Linked DNA regions of Canis lupus familiaris. The protein of the gene in region 2 binds, or shares a complex with, the protein of the main gene of each other region. Links are inferred from orthologs where the notes say so. Each region holds a gene or a part of one and is shown on either strand. Other genes may lie near its edges.

Region 1 (3,605 bases), on a different chromosome or scaffold from region 2:
TGGGAAACAGAATTCAGCCCATGATATTAGTCTTCCACTGATACCTCTCCTTTCCCAATTACTATACGGTTCCCCACACCCTTCCTTTTCACACCTAATAACTGATTACCAATTCTCAGTGAATACTAGGAGGAGCAAACACTAAGACTACCCAGAATCTTCTCTCAGGTCTTAGTGCTTTACCTTTTTTGTATTTTTTTGGGGGTTTGTCATCTTCGGAACCCTCGGATGAACTCACGGAGGGGGTGTGAGCCCCACAGCCCTTCTCTTGGAGCTCTTTGGTCACATCATCCATTTCTTCTGAGTCCTTAGGAGCCCGATAGTTAGACACATGATCCACTCGGATAGTTCTTCCTTTGATCTAAGACAGACAGGCAATGCTTCAGCAGAGAGGGCCCTACTTCTGAACTATTTGAACCCAGCTGCAGAAAGCCATGGTTCAAACCACACCCTAGAAAGCCATGGTTCAAACTACACCCTTTACCTTCCTGCTAATTCTATTTCTGGGGAAATATCTAAGCCAGACCTGCCCAACTGGTATGTCACAGCACATATACCTAGATAATAATCTGCCCAGCCCCTCCCTGGGGCAATCAGGTAGGCAGCTGGAGTCCCTGAGGCAACTCTACCAGGCAGCCTCCTCAGTTTACCCCAGGGTGCCACACAATAACCTTCAGGTTCTACATATGCAATTAAATGAAAAAATGCTCAGCAGTACTGCCCCAAAGCACAAGCAGCAGGGAAAACTAAGAATTTACATGCATAAACAATGAATTACCCTCAATCACATTAATTTGCAGTAAAACATACCATGGCCTGGCAGTTAGAAAGAACTCCTGAAGCGAGTGCAGCACTACAGCTGTTTTCTTGATACAGCAATTAGGATGAGGTCAAGGCAGACCAATATTTGGGAAAGGGGAAGGAATTTGTTTTCCTAAGCCCTCACGCCTTGCTCTACCCCCACCATACTGGAACAACTGTCTCACACTTATTTTTGCTGTGGATCACAACTCTCTGGGTGAACAACAAAAAATTAGCCCCTCACTTAAAAATAGTCAGGCAGATACAGACCTATTCTATAGGAAAAAATCATCCAAAAGCTTATGTCTGGCTTTTATTGTTCCTATACAAGAACAGAGTTTCATTCTTACCTTTAAGCCTGAACTTAAAGGTCATCTTTCCTATTCCCCTTTTGAAAACATTTTAGAAAATCCCCCTTTCATGGAGATTTTCAGCTGTTCCATACTGCTGCAATCAGTGACAAATTCTCCAAGTCCAAAGTCACCCCCAAACCTATAAAAAATGCTTATCTAACTGCAGTGCTTTTCCTAAATAAGCAGAGGAACCAGGGAGAGCATAGACAAGCCAGACTTGTCTACCACCTTCTCTGGCCAAGAGTGTTCTGAGAGGGAACAGACAAGGGAAAACTTCAGAATGAGTTACTTTTGTAGAATTTGTCATCAGACTTCATCTAGAGAATTTCCAAGGCCCAGTAATGCTAAGTCAGTGGAGACATAGGACAGACACACAGAGCTATGTCTTAGAGGATGAAGCCATAAGAGAGCGCCAAATCCTCTGACACAGCATAGCATGGAAGAGCAGTATTTGCTAGTCTTTTTACTGCCCAATACATCAGAGATGAGAGTAGGGTGTGAGAATGGAAAGGTGAGAAACCAGGGGCTTGGTTGGGGGTGAGGGACATGATACCTATGTTCCTGGGAAGATGAACATGAGGAAAAGGAACAAGTGTCAGCAGGGTCATAAGCCAATGAAATTATTTCCTGGGATCATTTCCTGGTCAGTATGTCCCCACACCTCTACAACCCTCAACACATCCAGGTGACCAGTACTGTCCTTGAACTTGGGGCAATCAGGTGGGAAATTAAATCGAACTCTTACATACAGGAAAAGTCCAGCCAGATCCTGCTTAGTGAACACACTCACCTTGATTCCATTAAAATTGTCAACAGCCAAAATTGTGCTCCTCTGGTCTTCATAGCAAAGGAAACAGAATCCTTTGGATTTCCCAGTCTTCTTGTCCCGCACCAGATTAATGTTAACAATCTCCCCATATCTATTTATTTTATAAAAGAGTAAGACACCATTGATTTAAAATGCAAAAACTTTCAGATTGAATGACAAAACAATTCAAATAATATAATCTATACAAGAGATACATCTAGGAAAAGATGACATAAAGTTAAAAATAAAAATTAGACAAGGACAGAGCAGGAACACCCAATTACAAAATGAGTGGTAATATTAAGATCGAAGATGAATTCAAGGCCAAAAAAAAAAAATAGTTCCCCTTAAGCAGGACTAAGAGAGCTCTTTTACACTTAAAAAGGTCCTAATAGGATCCCTGGGTGGCGCAGCGGTTTGGCGCCTGCCTTTGGCCCAGGGCATGATCCTGGAGACCCGGGATCGAGTCCCACGTCAGGCTCCCGGTGCATGGAGCCTGCTTCTCCCTCTGCCTTGTCTCTGCCTCTCTCTCTCTCTCTGTGACTATCATAAATAAATAAAAATTTAAAAAAAAATTGTTAAAAAGGTCCTAATATATTACAAAAATATGTCATGAAACTTTATACATAAGTTCACAAGTCAAAAATTTTAACTTAAGAAACTCTTAGAAATTCCAAGAGAAACTAATAACAAAAGTTATATTTTAGCATACCACTTTAAGTTTATAACACATAAAGCTGACAAAAATAAGGTCAGAGGAATTAATATCAATATATAATTATAACATTAATATAAACTATAATATAACAATTATGTTGTTAAATATTAATGTCAAACTAGTGGATATATATATCTGAATCTTACAAAAATAGTACCATTTCAATAATCCATGAAACATGTATTAAAATGGACTATAGAATAAACTTCAATCACCTCCAAAAACAGAACATGTTCTCCAATCACAATGCTATACAGCTGGAAATAATATTTTAAATAAAAAATACCCTACAAGCTAGAACTTGAAGCCTATTCTCCTAACAACTGGATGAAAGAGAAATTGAAATAAAGAAAAAAAAATCAATGGTAGACTATTTAAAAAATAACACAAATGAGAATATATACCAAAACTTACAAGATGCAGCTAAAACTACGCTCGGGAAAATCTGCAACCTTAAAGAATTTTACTGTTAAAAAGGTAGAATAGGAGGCACATAGGTGACTCAGTCAGTCAAGCATTTGCCTTCAGCTCAGCTCATGATCCCAGGCTCCTGGGATCAAGTCCTGTGTTGGGCTCCCAGCTCTGCAGGGAGTCCGTTTCTCCCTCTGCCCTTCCCCTCTACTCAAGATATCGCTCTCTCGCTCGCTCATTAAATAAATAAAATATTTAAAAATAAAATAAAAAGGCAGAATGAATATAAAAGAAAATAAATCTAAGGAAAGCAGATGGGAGTTAATAAAGATAAAAGCAGAAATTAAATAGAAAATAGAAAAAAAATCTACCTTATTCCTTATACAAAGTTAAATTCCAGATAAGTTAAAGATTCATAAATTAAAAGGTAGAGTCATAAAAATAAAACAAGAATTGGTGGATACTTAATAACACAATCATACACATACATCTGGGCCAGATATCTTGCATCTTA
Region 2 (4,303 bases):
ACATTATATGAAATTCTACTGCAAGCAAAACTAAACTACGATAGAAGAAATTGATTGCACTGGGGGTATGAGAACAGAGACTGACTAGGAAGGGCTTGAGGTTTCGGTAATGTTCCATATTCCACATCTCAACAGGGGTTTGGGTTATACAGATGTGTAAATTTTTCAAAACTGGCAAATGTACATTGTATTTCATTGCATGAGATAGTCACCTCAAGAAGTAAAATTAAAAACCTTGGGTGGAAATAAAAGAAAGCTTTTATGACTCAGTGGTGCCACTGGAATGAATGACAGCAAAGGTATCTTGGCAGAAAAGAGTTATCCCAGCTCAGAAATCAAACAGATTTGAATTCTTTCCGATGAATCCTTCCCTTTGAATTCGTTCTTACTGAAACTTAAATATCCAGATAATATCCTTCATAGCACCCAAAAACATACCGCTTGCATAGTATCCTTCAGGATCCAAATCCACACTAACTGAATTCAAAAACCAAAGAAAACTGGATAATGTTGGGGATCCCTGGGTGGCTCCGCGGTTTAGTGCCTGCCTTCAGCCTGGGGCGTGATCCTGGAGAACAGGGATCGAGTCTGGCATCAGGCTCTCTGCATGAAGCCTGTTTCTCTGCCTCTCTCTCTGTCTCTCAAGAATAAATAAACAAAAAAAATTTTTTTAAAGAAAATTGGATAATGAGAGATACTTCTATGAGGTAGGTAAAAACTGTGAAAACCTGGCAATTTTATGAGATTATTAAGAAAGATGTCAAAGTAAACTCCCAGGTTTTTGGTTAGAGTGGCAGTAAGGATGATAGTGCCATCAACCACTGTACAGAAATAAGTCAACCAAAAATGCAAAGCAGTTAGACAAATACTCATTTTCTTGGAACAAAACATATTCACCAGTAAGAAGAAATTTTATTTCTACAGTCTAAACAAAGAATAGGGTTCAGTACAGCCTTTAAAATTTTCAGGAAAATTGTGTCACAACATGCAGTTTCTTTAAATGAGATAAACGGATTCTAAAGAGTGTGACACAAAACTATAAGTAGATTCAAATAGGTAGGGATTGAGAAATTGTGAAAATATACTTTAAATTCTGGGGTGTTTTTCTCCAAAGTTACAGTTCGACTAAAAATTAACCTTAAATGCCTTCCTTAAGAACTCCGAATACATATTGAGGGTTTTATACGTTATTTCATTCACACTAGAAATTGTCTATTTGTCTGTCTTCGCAAAATAGTTCAAAGAACACCTTAAAAAAACAAAATCCACTGCCTGTGCCTAGTGTAATAGGTGCCCAATAATTGATTGATCGCAATAAGACTAATCTTGATTCAGACAAAAGACTAGCTACATTTATAACTAATTTAATCAGAAATCTCCTCTATGTTCCAGGCTCCCTGCCTCAAGGAAAAACACCAAAACCTTATCTGCAGATAGTTTAGAATGAATTACTCAAATCATAAACCAATAGGCTCAACTAACCAATGAAGTTTAAACACAAGAGAATAGTGATCATCTGCTAATCAGCCACAAATACGTAAAGTGACTCTGCCAGACGTTGGGAGATTCTTCCTGAATTAAAGTCCTATTTTGTTTTCTTTTTTTTTATTTTAAAGATTTTATTTATTTATTTATTTATTTATTTATTTATTTATTCATTCATTCATTCATTCATGAGAGACACAGGGAGAGAGAAAGGCATAGACACAGGCAGAGGGAGAAGCAGGCTCCATGCTGGGAGCCCGACGTAGGACTCGATCCTGGGTCTCCAGGATCATTCCCTGGGCCGAAAGTGGCGCTAAACCGCTGAGCCACCCAGGGATCCCTAAAGTCCTATTTTGAAGGGAAATGGGAGTTGGGTAATCTTAACTGTAAGGAGTCGAAAAGAAAAGAAAAGAAAAGAAATGGGAAAAGGGAAAGGGAAAAGGAAAAGGAAAGACCAAAAAACCAGAAGTCCAATCCTGATTTAAAACATTTCGGAAATGGGTTTCGTCATTTCCTGATGAACCCCTGCAGCTTCTAAGTACATTCTAAAAGCTGCTTAACGGGACGTCTGGGTGGCTCAGCGGCTGGGCAGCTGCCTTTGGCTCAGGTCGTGATCCCGGGACCCAGGATCGAGTCCCACGTCGGGCTCCCTGCATGGAGCCTGCCTCTCCCTCTGCCTCTCTGTGTGTGTCTCTAATGAATAAATAAATAAATCTTTAAAAAAAAAATAAATAAATAAAAGCTCGTTAACTTAATGCAACGCGTACAATTTTCCTTAGGTCTCCCACGTTCTCCGGGAGCGTATATTTAGTCGTCTTTGCGGGTCCTGAGGGCTGAGACCGGCCAGAAAAATCATCTAGACTAGAGTACGAGTTCTAAGGGAACGAACGTCTTCTACCAACCGCAAACAGAAGCCTGTAAGCCTGGCGCCGCCGCCTTGCAGGCCTCTAAGACACTAGGGGGGAAGAAATGGCCAGGCCTTCACGTCCACTAGCCTGAAGACACGCGGGGGCCGCGCGCCAACGAGTCTGAAGCCCCGGCGGCAGCGCCCGCGACGGCGCGGCCAAGCTGGGGCGGGAGCGGCGGGCGCCGGAGGCCGTTAGCAGGCCGCGCGCGCACGCGGCTTTCCCGCCTCCCGCAAAGGGGCAGCGCGGCCTCCCGCTCGCCGCCCAAATCGTCACAGCCCCCACCCCGCCGGGCTACCCCCTCACCTCACGAGCTTCATCCTGGCGGCGCCGTCGCTCTTTCAGCCCGTTAATGTACAGAACCGGACTACCAAGGCCCGAAAAACTAGGAGTATGAATGGCCGGAAACGCCTACTCCTCGGGCTCGGACGTAAAGGGCGCGAGGAACGCTGAGAACGCGAGGCGGAAGCGCCGAGGCCCCCGGAGCCGCACTCCCTTCCGGCCGCGCCCAACCTCACGGCGGCCCCTGGCGGCTGGAGGTGTGCCTTGCGCCTGCTGAGCGCTTTGAGAGCCGGTCCAGGAGGAAAATTCCAGTAAGGGCGGGGATTTGGGGAGCTCAGATCCAATTAGTAGGCCGGGCCGCGGGCCGCGGGCTCAGAGTCCTGTGTTACGGGGCAGTAAATACACTCGCGAAGGAAATGTAGTTCTGACAAAGCCCAAAAAATTATGCGAATTCAGCTCCAACACCGGGAATGTACCTGAAGAAAATCACACAGTTTAGCTTATTATTTTTACTTTAAATTCTAGTCACAGGGGCACCTGGGTGGCTCAGTGGTTGAGTGTCTGCCTTTGGCTCAGGTCGTGATCCCAGGGTCCTGGGATGGAGTCTTGCATGAGGCTCCCCTGCATGGAGCCTGCTTCTCCCTCTGCCTGTGTCCCTGCCTCTCTCTGTGTATCTCTCATGAATAAATAAATGAAATCTTTTTTTTTTTAATTTTTATTTATTTATGATAGTCACACAGAGATAGAGACAGAGGTAGAGACACAGGCAGAGGGAGAAGCAGGCTCCATGCACCGGGAGCCCGACGTGGGATTCGATCCCGGGTCTCCAGGATCGCGCCCTGGGCCAAAGGCAGGCGCCAAACCGCTGCGCCACCCAGGGATCCCTAAAATCTTTTTCTTTAAAGATTTTATTTATTTATGAAACAGAGAGAGAGAGGGGGGCAGAGACACAGGCAGAGGGAGAAGCAGGCTCCATGCAGGGAGCCCGACGTGGGACTCAATCCCGGGTCTCCAGGATCACACCCTGGGCCGAAGGCAGGCGCTAAACCGCTGAGCTACCCAGGGATTCCCTAAATAAATAACATCTTAAAAAAAATTTGGTCACAAACCTCAGAATGGCACCTACATTGTTGAGAGCTCTTGTCTCTAATAAGCTCACAAACTATTTCATACCTTCCCTGTACTCTCCCTCTGAAACCTTTTACAGTGTCTTCCTAAGATCACTCTCTGCTAATATTTCCTCTTTCGAGAAGACCGGAAGCCATCCTTTTAGAACTTTCTTCCAGTTAGAAAGGTAGATGTATCATTGCCCCTTTCCAAGGCAAGTTCCTCTTCATTGTAGTCTGGCTCCCATCTTTCATTTTTCTCAAGAATTTCACTCCTTCTGGGCAGCCCCGGTGGCGCAGCGGTTTAGCGCCGCCTGCAGCCCAGGGCGCGATCCTGGAGACCCGGGATTGAGTCCCACGTCGGGCTCCCTGCATGGAGCCTGCTTCTCCCTCTGCCTGTGTCTCTGCCTCTCTCTCTTCCTCTGCATCTCTATGAATAAATAAATAAATCTAAAAAAAAAAAAAAAAAAAAGAATTTCACTCCTTCAGTTATCTCCTAACTTGAATCATTAATTTCTCCCTCTT
Region 3 (3,605 bases), on a different chromosome or scaffold from region 2:
GTCAGAAAAGTAGAGGTTCATTAGCCAATGCTAAAGGGGTTTGGACTTTGTCTTATTCTTTTTTCTTTTTTTTTTTAAGATATTTATTTATTCATGAGAGAGGCAGAGACATAGGTAGAGGGAGAAGCAGGCTCCCTGCAGGAAGCCTGATACAAGACTCGATCCCAGGACCCCAAGATCACGACCTGAGTGGAAGGTAGACAGCCCCTGAGCCACCGAGGTGCCCCTGGACTCTGTCTTGAAGGCCATGAAGAGCTAGTTGATTTTAGCAGGAGACAAGATTTGATATGCATTTTATTTTTTTATTATGAAATATTTCAGTAACATAGAAAAATATAAATAATAAATTTAATAGTCATCTACTTGGCTATGCATTTTAGAAGGATAACCCTGGCAGAAGTATAGAGGATTGGGAAAACTGATTGAGGAAGCTGTTCCAATAATCCTCATATGCAATTAAGATAATTTTGCATAATAGAATTGGAATTGAGAGAAGTAAATAGATGCTGAGAGAGTTGTCAAGGAGGTAAAATTGACCAGATAAAGTGACTGGTTAGCTATGGCAACAAAGATGACCCTCAGTTCCTGGGTAGATGTTGTTGACATTAACTAATACAGGGGATGGCAGAAGGATGCACATGTTTAGGTGGAGAGAAAAGAGATGATGAGCTCTGGAACGTGTTGAATTTGACACATTATGAGATACTTAGATGGAGATGTCTGTCTCCACTTTCAAACAGAACAGCTCAGCTTTTTTTTTATGAGCTTCTGTGTAAATTTTCATTTGAACCAAGAATTACTCTGTTTAAAGAGGGGGGAAAGACTGACATGGGTTCATGTGAGGAATCCAGAGAAGTAGAAGATTGCTGGAATTCAAATTGGAAGAATATTTTATTTATTTATTTTTCAAAGAATTTATTTGTCCATTCATGAGAGAAACAGAGAGAGAGGCAGAAACACAGGCAGAGGGAGAAGCAGGCTCCACGCAGAGAGCCCGATGCGGGACTCCATCCTAGGTCTCCAGGATCACACCCTGGGCTGACCCGGCGCCAAACCGCTGAGCCACCCAGGCTGCCCAAGAAGAATATTTTAAATACAATTTCCATCAAAGTTTGGCATTGGATAGCGTGATTCCCATAATAGCTTATAATTGTCATATTTAATTTTTAAAAATCAAAGAATTATAAGAACTTTCCTGATAGTAGATATTACTTGCCCACCACTAGAGGGCAGTTGTATTCCATATTCTTTTGACTTGCCTAACAGCTCTGGATACATAGAGACAAGAAATATAGGTGCATTTGGTTGACCCTTAAAAAGGATAAATATTTTAGACAGAAGGTCTTGGAATTTTGTAAGATTCCTCTACTCTCTTTGTACAAAAATATATTGGTGTTCCTAGGGGTTGAAGGACAGTTTTACTTTGGTTTCTGTTTCCCTGGCTGGTTTTCTAGCGGCTGATTTTTGAAGTGTCCCAATATAACATTTTCAAACCAATTAGCCTGTGTCAGGGGCTAGGAAGCTTTCTGTAAAGGGGGCCAGATGGTAAATATTTCAGGATATTTCTAGCTTGCAGACCATGCAATCTCTAGTGTGGTTCTTTAGTTCTGCTCACTGAAGTGTGGAAGCAACTATAGACAATGCAGAAATGAATGAGTTTACTGTGTTCCACTAAAATTTTGTTAACAACAATGGGGTGGTTTGGATTTCATCTGCAAGCTGATTATAGCCTGTGTTTGTGAACCATAATGTTTCTGGGACTTGAATATGGAAAGAGTTGGCACCTTTTTTTCCCAGTGGTTTATGTGGCAGCCAGCCAGGACTCTAAAGGAAGTAATATTCCAAATATAAAATGGCCAGAACTTTATTATATCACATACATTATTATAAGATGGATACGTTGTATGTTTGAGCTCTTATTTTTTTAGAATCTCAGAGAAATGTCTTTTCACTTTCAATATCAATATAATTTGCAAAAAAATACATTGTTTTTAGAAAGCTATCTGTTCTTAATCTGTGATGGAACACATGTGCCTGATTTTGTTTGCTTAAGGTCTGAGTAGTGACCTAAAGGAATTTACCTGTTTATTTCCCTGATTATTGCATCTTCTCACTTTCCAGTCATTTGGCCTCTTAAAAATGAAATCTGTTGTTCACATTTGGATATTAAAATGAAACATCATTAACCTGTATGGAAAATTTTGAACTTTCTTAGGCTTTGTTTTTTTTCTTTAAGATTTACTTATTTGAGAGAGTGTGTGTGTGAGCAGGGGATGGAGAGAATCCCAAGCAGATTTCCCTCTGAGGGTGGGGCCTGATGCAGGGCTAGATTTCACTGCCCTGAGATCATGACCTGAGCTGAAATCAAGAGTCAGATGCTTAACCAACTTAGCTACCCAGATGCCCCTGTTAGGTTCGTTTTAAATTGGAAGTCCCTGGGGATGCATGGGTGGCTCAGTCAGGTAAGTATCTACCTTCAACTCCAGTCATGAGGCTAGAGTCCTGGGATCAAGCCCCATGTCAGGCTCCTGGCTCAGCGAGAAGCCTGCTTCTCCCTCTCCCTGCTGCTTTGCACACATGCTCTCTCTCTCAAATAAATAAAATCTTTAAAAAAAAATAAATTGAAGGTCTCTTTTTCCTTGATCTATTAAGTCATCAGTTTTCCCCTTCCTAAAATACAATAAAGTGGGATTTATTTTTGGTTTAAGAGAGCATGAACAGGTAGATCTAGCAGTTGCTATGGCTAAGAATTGTAGGCATTTTATGTTTCTAATTCTAAGAATGAAACTGAGGCTGATTTGAGTTTAAAGAAATTAATGCTAAATTAAAAGTAAAGAAAGACAAGCTCATAACTGATGAAGGATGAGAGGTATGAAAATGGAAAGTTAGTAACAAATCATAAGAACAAAATGGATAAACGTGGGGTAGATTAGTAGAAATGCATGTTAACTGAATATAATATTTTACATGATAGTTTTAGCTACTTATGGGCTAATAATAACTTATCACTAGTCCTGGAAGTGCAAATTTACACTGTTAATAATTCAAAATAAAATTATTTTTAATCATAGTTCTATATAGCCCATCTTTAAAAATCAAAGTAATAGCTTTGCTAAATGTGTTTCTTTGATGTTTAACATACCCTTAAATGACTAGAATGTATTATTGATGGACTCTTAAAATAAGCAATTAATTTTGGATGTACTTCAAGAAAGAAAACATTTAAATAGGCATTCATAGAATTTCAGAGTCAGACTAATGAATGTAGACAAGCATGAACTATTTATTATAAGGCCAAATTATTTTGGTAAGTGAAACTTTTCTGGTATTTCTTATATCTTAAAAAACAAAACAATAAACAACCTACCTTGATGCTTATTCCTTCTCCATCATAAAATCCTAACAATCTTTTAAAATTTGAGTTATGAAAGAAGATTGACCCCAGAATTAATGTAAGTAAATGAGTCCTCCTCTGTCATTGACAGGAACAAGAACAGAAAGCTGAAGAAGAAAGAATACGTATGGAAAACATTTTGAGTGGAAACCCTCTCCTTAATCTCACTGGTCCATCCCAGCCACAGGCCAACTTCAAAGTTAAAAGAAGG
Region 4 (3,568 bases), on a different chromosome or scaffold from region 2:
GACCTCCCATGTGTCTGCCCCACAGCAGCCCTGACGGCACAGGCCAGACGACTTTCCAGCGGTGACTGGGTTGCAAGAACCCCAAACCTATAAGATTCATTCCCACCAACGCTGTAATTCCACACGCAAGGATTTATTACAACAAAACAATCAGAAACGCCAGTAAAGATTCAAACTGGCCGACAGGTGAGTGGCATACTTCTAGCACATCCACGGGTGCGTTCTATGAAGCCACTAAAAAATATACATTCCTAAAGATTTGATGATGATGGAAAATTCTCACAAAACTTTCAGTTCTAAGGGCATCTGGGTGGCTCAGCTGGTGAAGCATTTGTCCTCGGCTCAGGTCGTGGTCCGGGGATTCTGGGATCAATCCCGGGTCAGGCTCCCTGCTCAGTGGAGACCCTCCTTCTCCCTCTGCCTCCAACCCTCCCCACACTCGTGTTCTCGGTCTCAAATAAATAATAAGTAACATCTTAAACAAAACAACCCTTTCAGCTTTATTTTTTTTTTTTTTTAAACATATTTTTCTTTTTTTAATTTTTTTTTTTTTTTTTTTTTTTATTTATGATAGTCACAGAGAAAGAGAGAGAGGCAGAGACACAGGCAGAGGGAGAAGCAGACTCCATGCACCGGGAGCCTGACGTGGGACTCGATCCCGGGTCTCCAGGATCGCGCCCTGGGCCAAAGGCAGGCGCTAAACCACTGCGCCACCCAGGGATCCCCCCTTTCAGCTTTAAAACAAGACACAACACTAAACACATAGTAGCACTTCAGTTGTGTGCAGGGACAGGCTGTAATAATACAAGTAAGCTAAAACTAACAGTTTCTCAGGAGTAGGTTTACACAAGACTTTTTGGGGGGTGTCAAGATTTTATTTATTTATTTAGTTATTGATTTATTGATTGATTGATTGCAATTTTTAAAAAGATTTTATTTATTCATGAGAGACACAGGCAGAGGGAGAAGCAGGCTCCATGCAGGGAGCCTGACGGGGCTCAATGCCCAGTCTCCAGGATCACACCCTGGGCCGAAGGCAGCACTAAACGGCTGGGCCACCGGGGCTGCCCTAGATTTTATTTTTGAGTAATCTCCACACCCAGCATAGGGCTCTAATTCACAACCCAGAGATGACGAGTCAGACGCTCCACCCGCTGAGCCTGCTGGGTGACCTATAGGTGATGTTTAATATCCTTTTTTGTTTATTAAACTCCAAATATGTTCGTTCTGCACATATGTTTAAACTAGATTTGATTGATTGATTGATTGATTGATTTTATTTATTCCTGAGAGACGCAGAGAGAGAGGCAGAGACACAGGCAGAGGGAGAAGCAGCCTCCCTGTGGGGAGCCCGACGCAGGACTCGATCCCGGGACCCCAGGGCCACGGACTGAGCACCAAGGCAGATACTCAACCGCTGAGCCCCCCCGGGCGCCCCTACACACGTGTTTAGATGTAGGTAAGATACCAGAAGTTAAGTTTCAGAAGAAAAAGTAACGGGGGCACACCAGAGAACAAAGTCAAACTCCTCACGCCAGGAGTAGAGACGCAGTGCAAATGCCTGAGACCAAGTGCAGCTGAAGCTCTGACAGACAAAGCACGTTACCGGCATGCGTGATTCCTGAGACCCTCTCCCTCAGGAAATGCCACTGCCTGCCGGATGTGGGGAGGCAGGAAGCCACTTACCGGAGTTGGGGCACTCCTGCAGTGCCTTGGCCATGAGCGTGTTGGCGATGTTCTTCAGCCCTGCACGGTACTCCAGTCGCACAGACTCCAACCTGAGGAAGGGCCCACAGGGCGGGTCCAGCACCCACGCACGGAAGCCCCGGGACAAGCCTAGCTACGTTCCCGGAATTCCTGGGAAGCCACCGCGGCTGGAGCTCCCTGCTCTGCCAAGCAGAGCTCATCTACTGGAGAAGCAAGGCACTGGAGCCCGCCCACCGTGAGGACCAGAGGCAGCTGCCACCACAGCTGAGGCCTGGGACCCCGGCATCACACGGGTGCGAGTAAATACAGGTAGGACAAGGACAGGCTGGCACAGGCTGGCATGCTAGTGCTGCTGGGACAGTGAAGCATATCCGCAGCATCCTGGACCTACCCATGCTCCCGGGTCTCCTTTGGCAACCACCACGCTGAGCCCTGACGCCATGAGCCCTCCGTGGCACAGCCCTGCAAGCTCTCTACTACGGACAGGAGGCCAGCCTCACCTGACAACCTCCTGCTCATCCCTTAAAGCCTCATCTAAAAGCCACCCCTTCTGGGAAGCCCTTTCTTGGCTGCACCCATACTCAACCCCCCGGTGTTAGCTCCCGGCTCCCCAGTCACCTTCTACCAGAGCACAAATTAAACTGCGTGCAACTAACTACGGGCCCACGAGTGTCCAGGACGAACCCTCCCAAGGCAACTGTGCTTCCTCATGGCCAGCAGCTGCCACCCTTGCCATGGAGCCTGGGCTGGAAATGCTGCTGCACGAATGGCCCCACATGCGCAACAGCGGGAAGACAGCCCACTGGAGGGGTGAGCAGGGTCCACCAGGACTCACCACAGGCCGGGGTTCTTTGGGTTCTTCAGGCGAGACTTTTCCAGAATGGCCCGAGCTCGGGTCAGCTGCCCAACCTTCTCCTCCAGCCGAGAAAGCAAAAGCCACAGAGGGGTGGAGTGGGGACATTTCTTCAACTGCAAGCAACAGAGACAAGTAAGAGAGGGCTCGGCTGGTGTTGGAGGAGCTGTGATGGCTGTGGCCGGCCCCTCAGGCTGGGGGAGTCAGGGATGCTCGTGTCCACAGAGTCCTACCCGTGAGCGTGGGGTGGGGGTTTATGTGTGTGGCAATGCAGTGAACAAGTGCACACAGGGTGCGTGTGTTCTCACTACCTGGCTGTGCTGCGCGTGCATGCACGTGGGGTGCGTACACAGCGGCCCTGTTAGGGGTCCTGTAACCCAGGCCTCACTGAGTGCAGTGCACACAGCTCTGCAGACGGCAGGTGCAGGCCTGAGCGAGGGGACCACTACCAGCTGGGGTCTAAGCAAGTCACTGCCCACCGGGCCTCTCATTCCCGCCCGGGAACCAGCTGAGCTCACCCCCTGGTTGTAGGCTTCCCGAGCCCTCTCCATCAGCTCCTCCTGCTCCTCAATCTGTCCCTTCATCATCCACAGCTTAGGGAAGTCCTCATAGTGCCTCAGCGCCTCCTCGCACAGCTCCTGAGCAGCTGCGATGTTCCCCAGCACCCACTCCAGCTTCACAGACTTCATGAACACCTGTGAGGCAGACACGCCATCCAACAGCCCCGGGCACCCCCGCCCCCTGAGACGTCCCGACGGCAGGACCGCCTCTAGCACTGGCTCCAGCCAGATGGCACCTTCACGATACGGGTTTCACACCACAGCTCCCCTGACAGGTCACTTGCCCTACTGGGTAAGTTCCTGCCCACACAGGAACTTCTGTAGGGTGTTTCACATCCTTTGGCAGAAAGCAGGGGGTCTAAATGCAGAAACACATCTCAAAGCCAAGGATGAACCAACAGCCCTAGAGTACTGGGGCCTTAGTGGCACCTCACGCTTCCCGGACCCC

Evidence for each region. The genes of interacting proteins can lie anywhere in the genome.
Region 1: SNRPD1 (region 2) and RBMX2 share a complex: the UniProt entries of both Homo sapiens proteins name them as parts of the minor spliceosome. The link is inferred for Canis lupus familiaris from reciprocal best matches to the Homo sapiens genes SNRPD1 and RBMX2.
Region 3: SNRPD1 (region 2) and CWC15 share a complex: the UniProt entries of both Homo sapiens proteins name them as parts of the minor spliceosome. The link is inferred for Canis lupus familiaris from reciprocal best matches to the Homo sapiens genes SNRPD1 and CWC15.
Region 4: SNRPD1 (region 2) and PRPF6 share a complex: the UniProt entries of both Homo sapiens proteins name them as parts of the U4/U6-U5 tri-snRNP complex. The link is inferred for Canis lupus familiaris from reciprocal best matches to the Homo sapiens genes SNRPD1 and PRPF6.

Annotation. Positions count from the first base shown.
Region 1 is NC_049260.1:102,438,336-102,441,940, reverse strand, and holds part of RBMX2 (RNA-binding motif protein, X-linked 2), read right to left. Parts: intron 2,075-3,605; coding exon 1,945-2,074; intron 362-1,944; coding exon 184-361; intron 1-183. UniProt on the Homo sapiens protein: Involved in pre-mRNA splicing as component of the activated spliceosome. As a component of the minor spliceosome, involved in the splicing of U12-type introns in pre-mRNAs.
Region 2 is NC_049228.1:66,473,000-66,477,302, forward strand, and holds the start of SNRPD1 (small nuclear ribonucleoprotein Sm D1), read right to left. Parts: upstream 2,828-4,303; 5' UTR 2,711-2,827; coding exon 2,697-2,710; intron 1-2,696. UniProt on the Homo sapiens protein: Plays a role in pre-mRNA splicing as a core component of the spliceosomal U1, U2, U4 and U5 small nuclear ribonucleoproteins (snRNPs), the building blocks of the spliceosome.
Region 3 is NC_049242.1:6,122,854-6,126,458, forward strand, and holds part of CWC15 (spliceosome-associated protein CWC15 homolog), read left to right. Parts: intron 1-3,485; coding exon 3,486-3,604; intron 3,605-3,605. UniProt on the Homo sapiens protein: Involved in pre-mRNA splicing as component of the spliceosome. Component of the PRP19-CDC5L complex that forms an integral part of the spliceosome and is required for activating pre-mRNA splicing.
Region 4 is NC_049245.1:48,323,912-48,327,479, reverse strand, and holds part of PRPF6 (pre-mRNA-processing factor 6), read right to left. Parts: intron 3,256-3,568; coding exon 3,079-3,255; intron 2,677-3,078; coding exon 2,543-2,676; intron 1,779-2,542; coding exon 1,687-1,778; intron 1-1,686. UniProt on the Homo sapiens protein: Involved in pre-mRNA splicing as component of the U4/U6-U5 tri-snRNP complex, one of the building blocks of the spliceosome.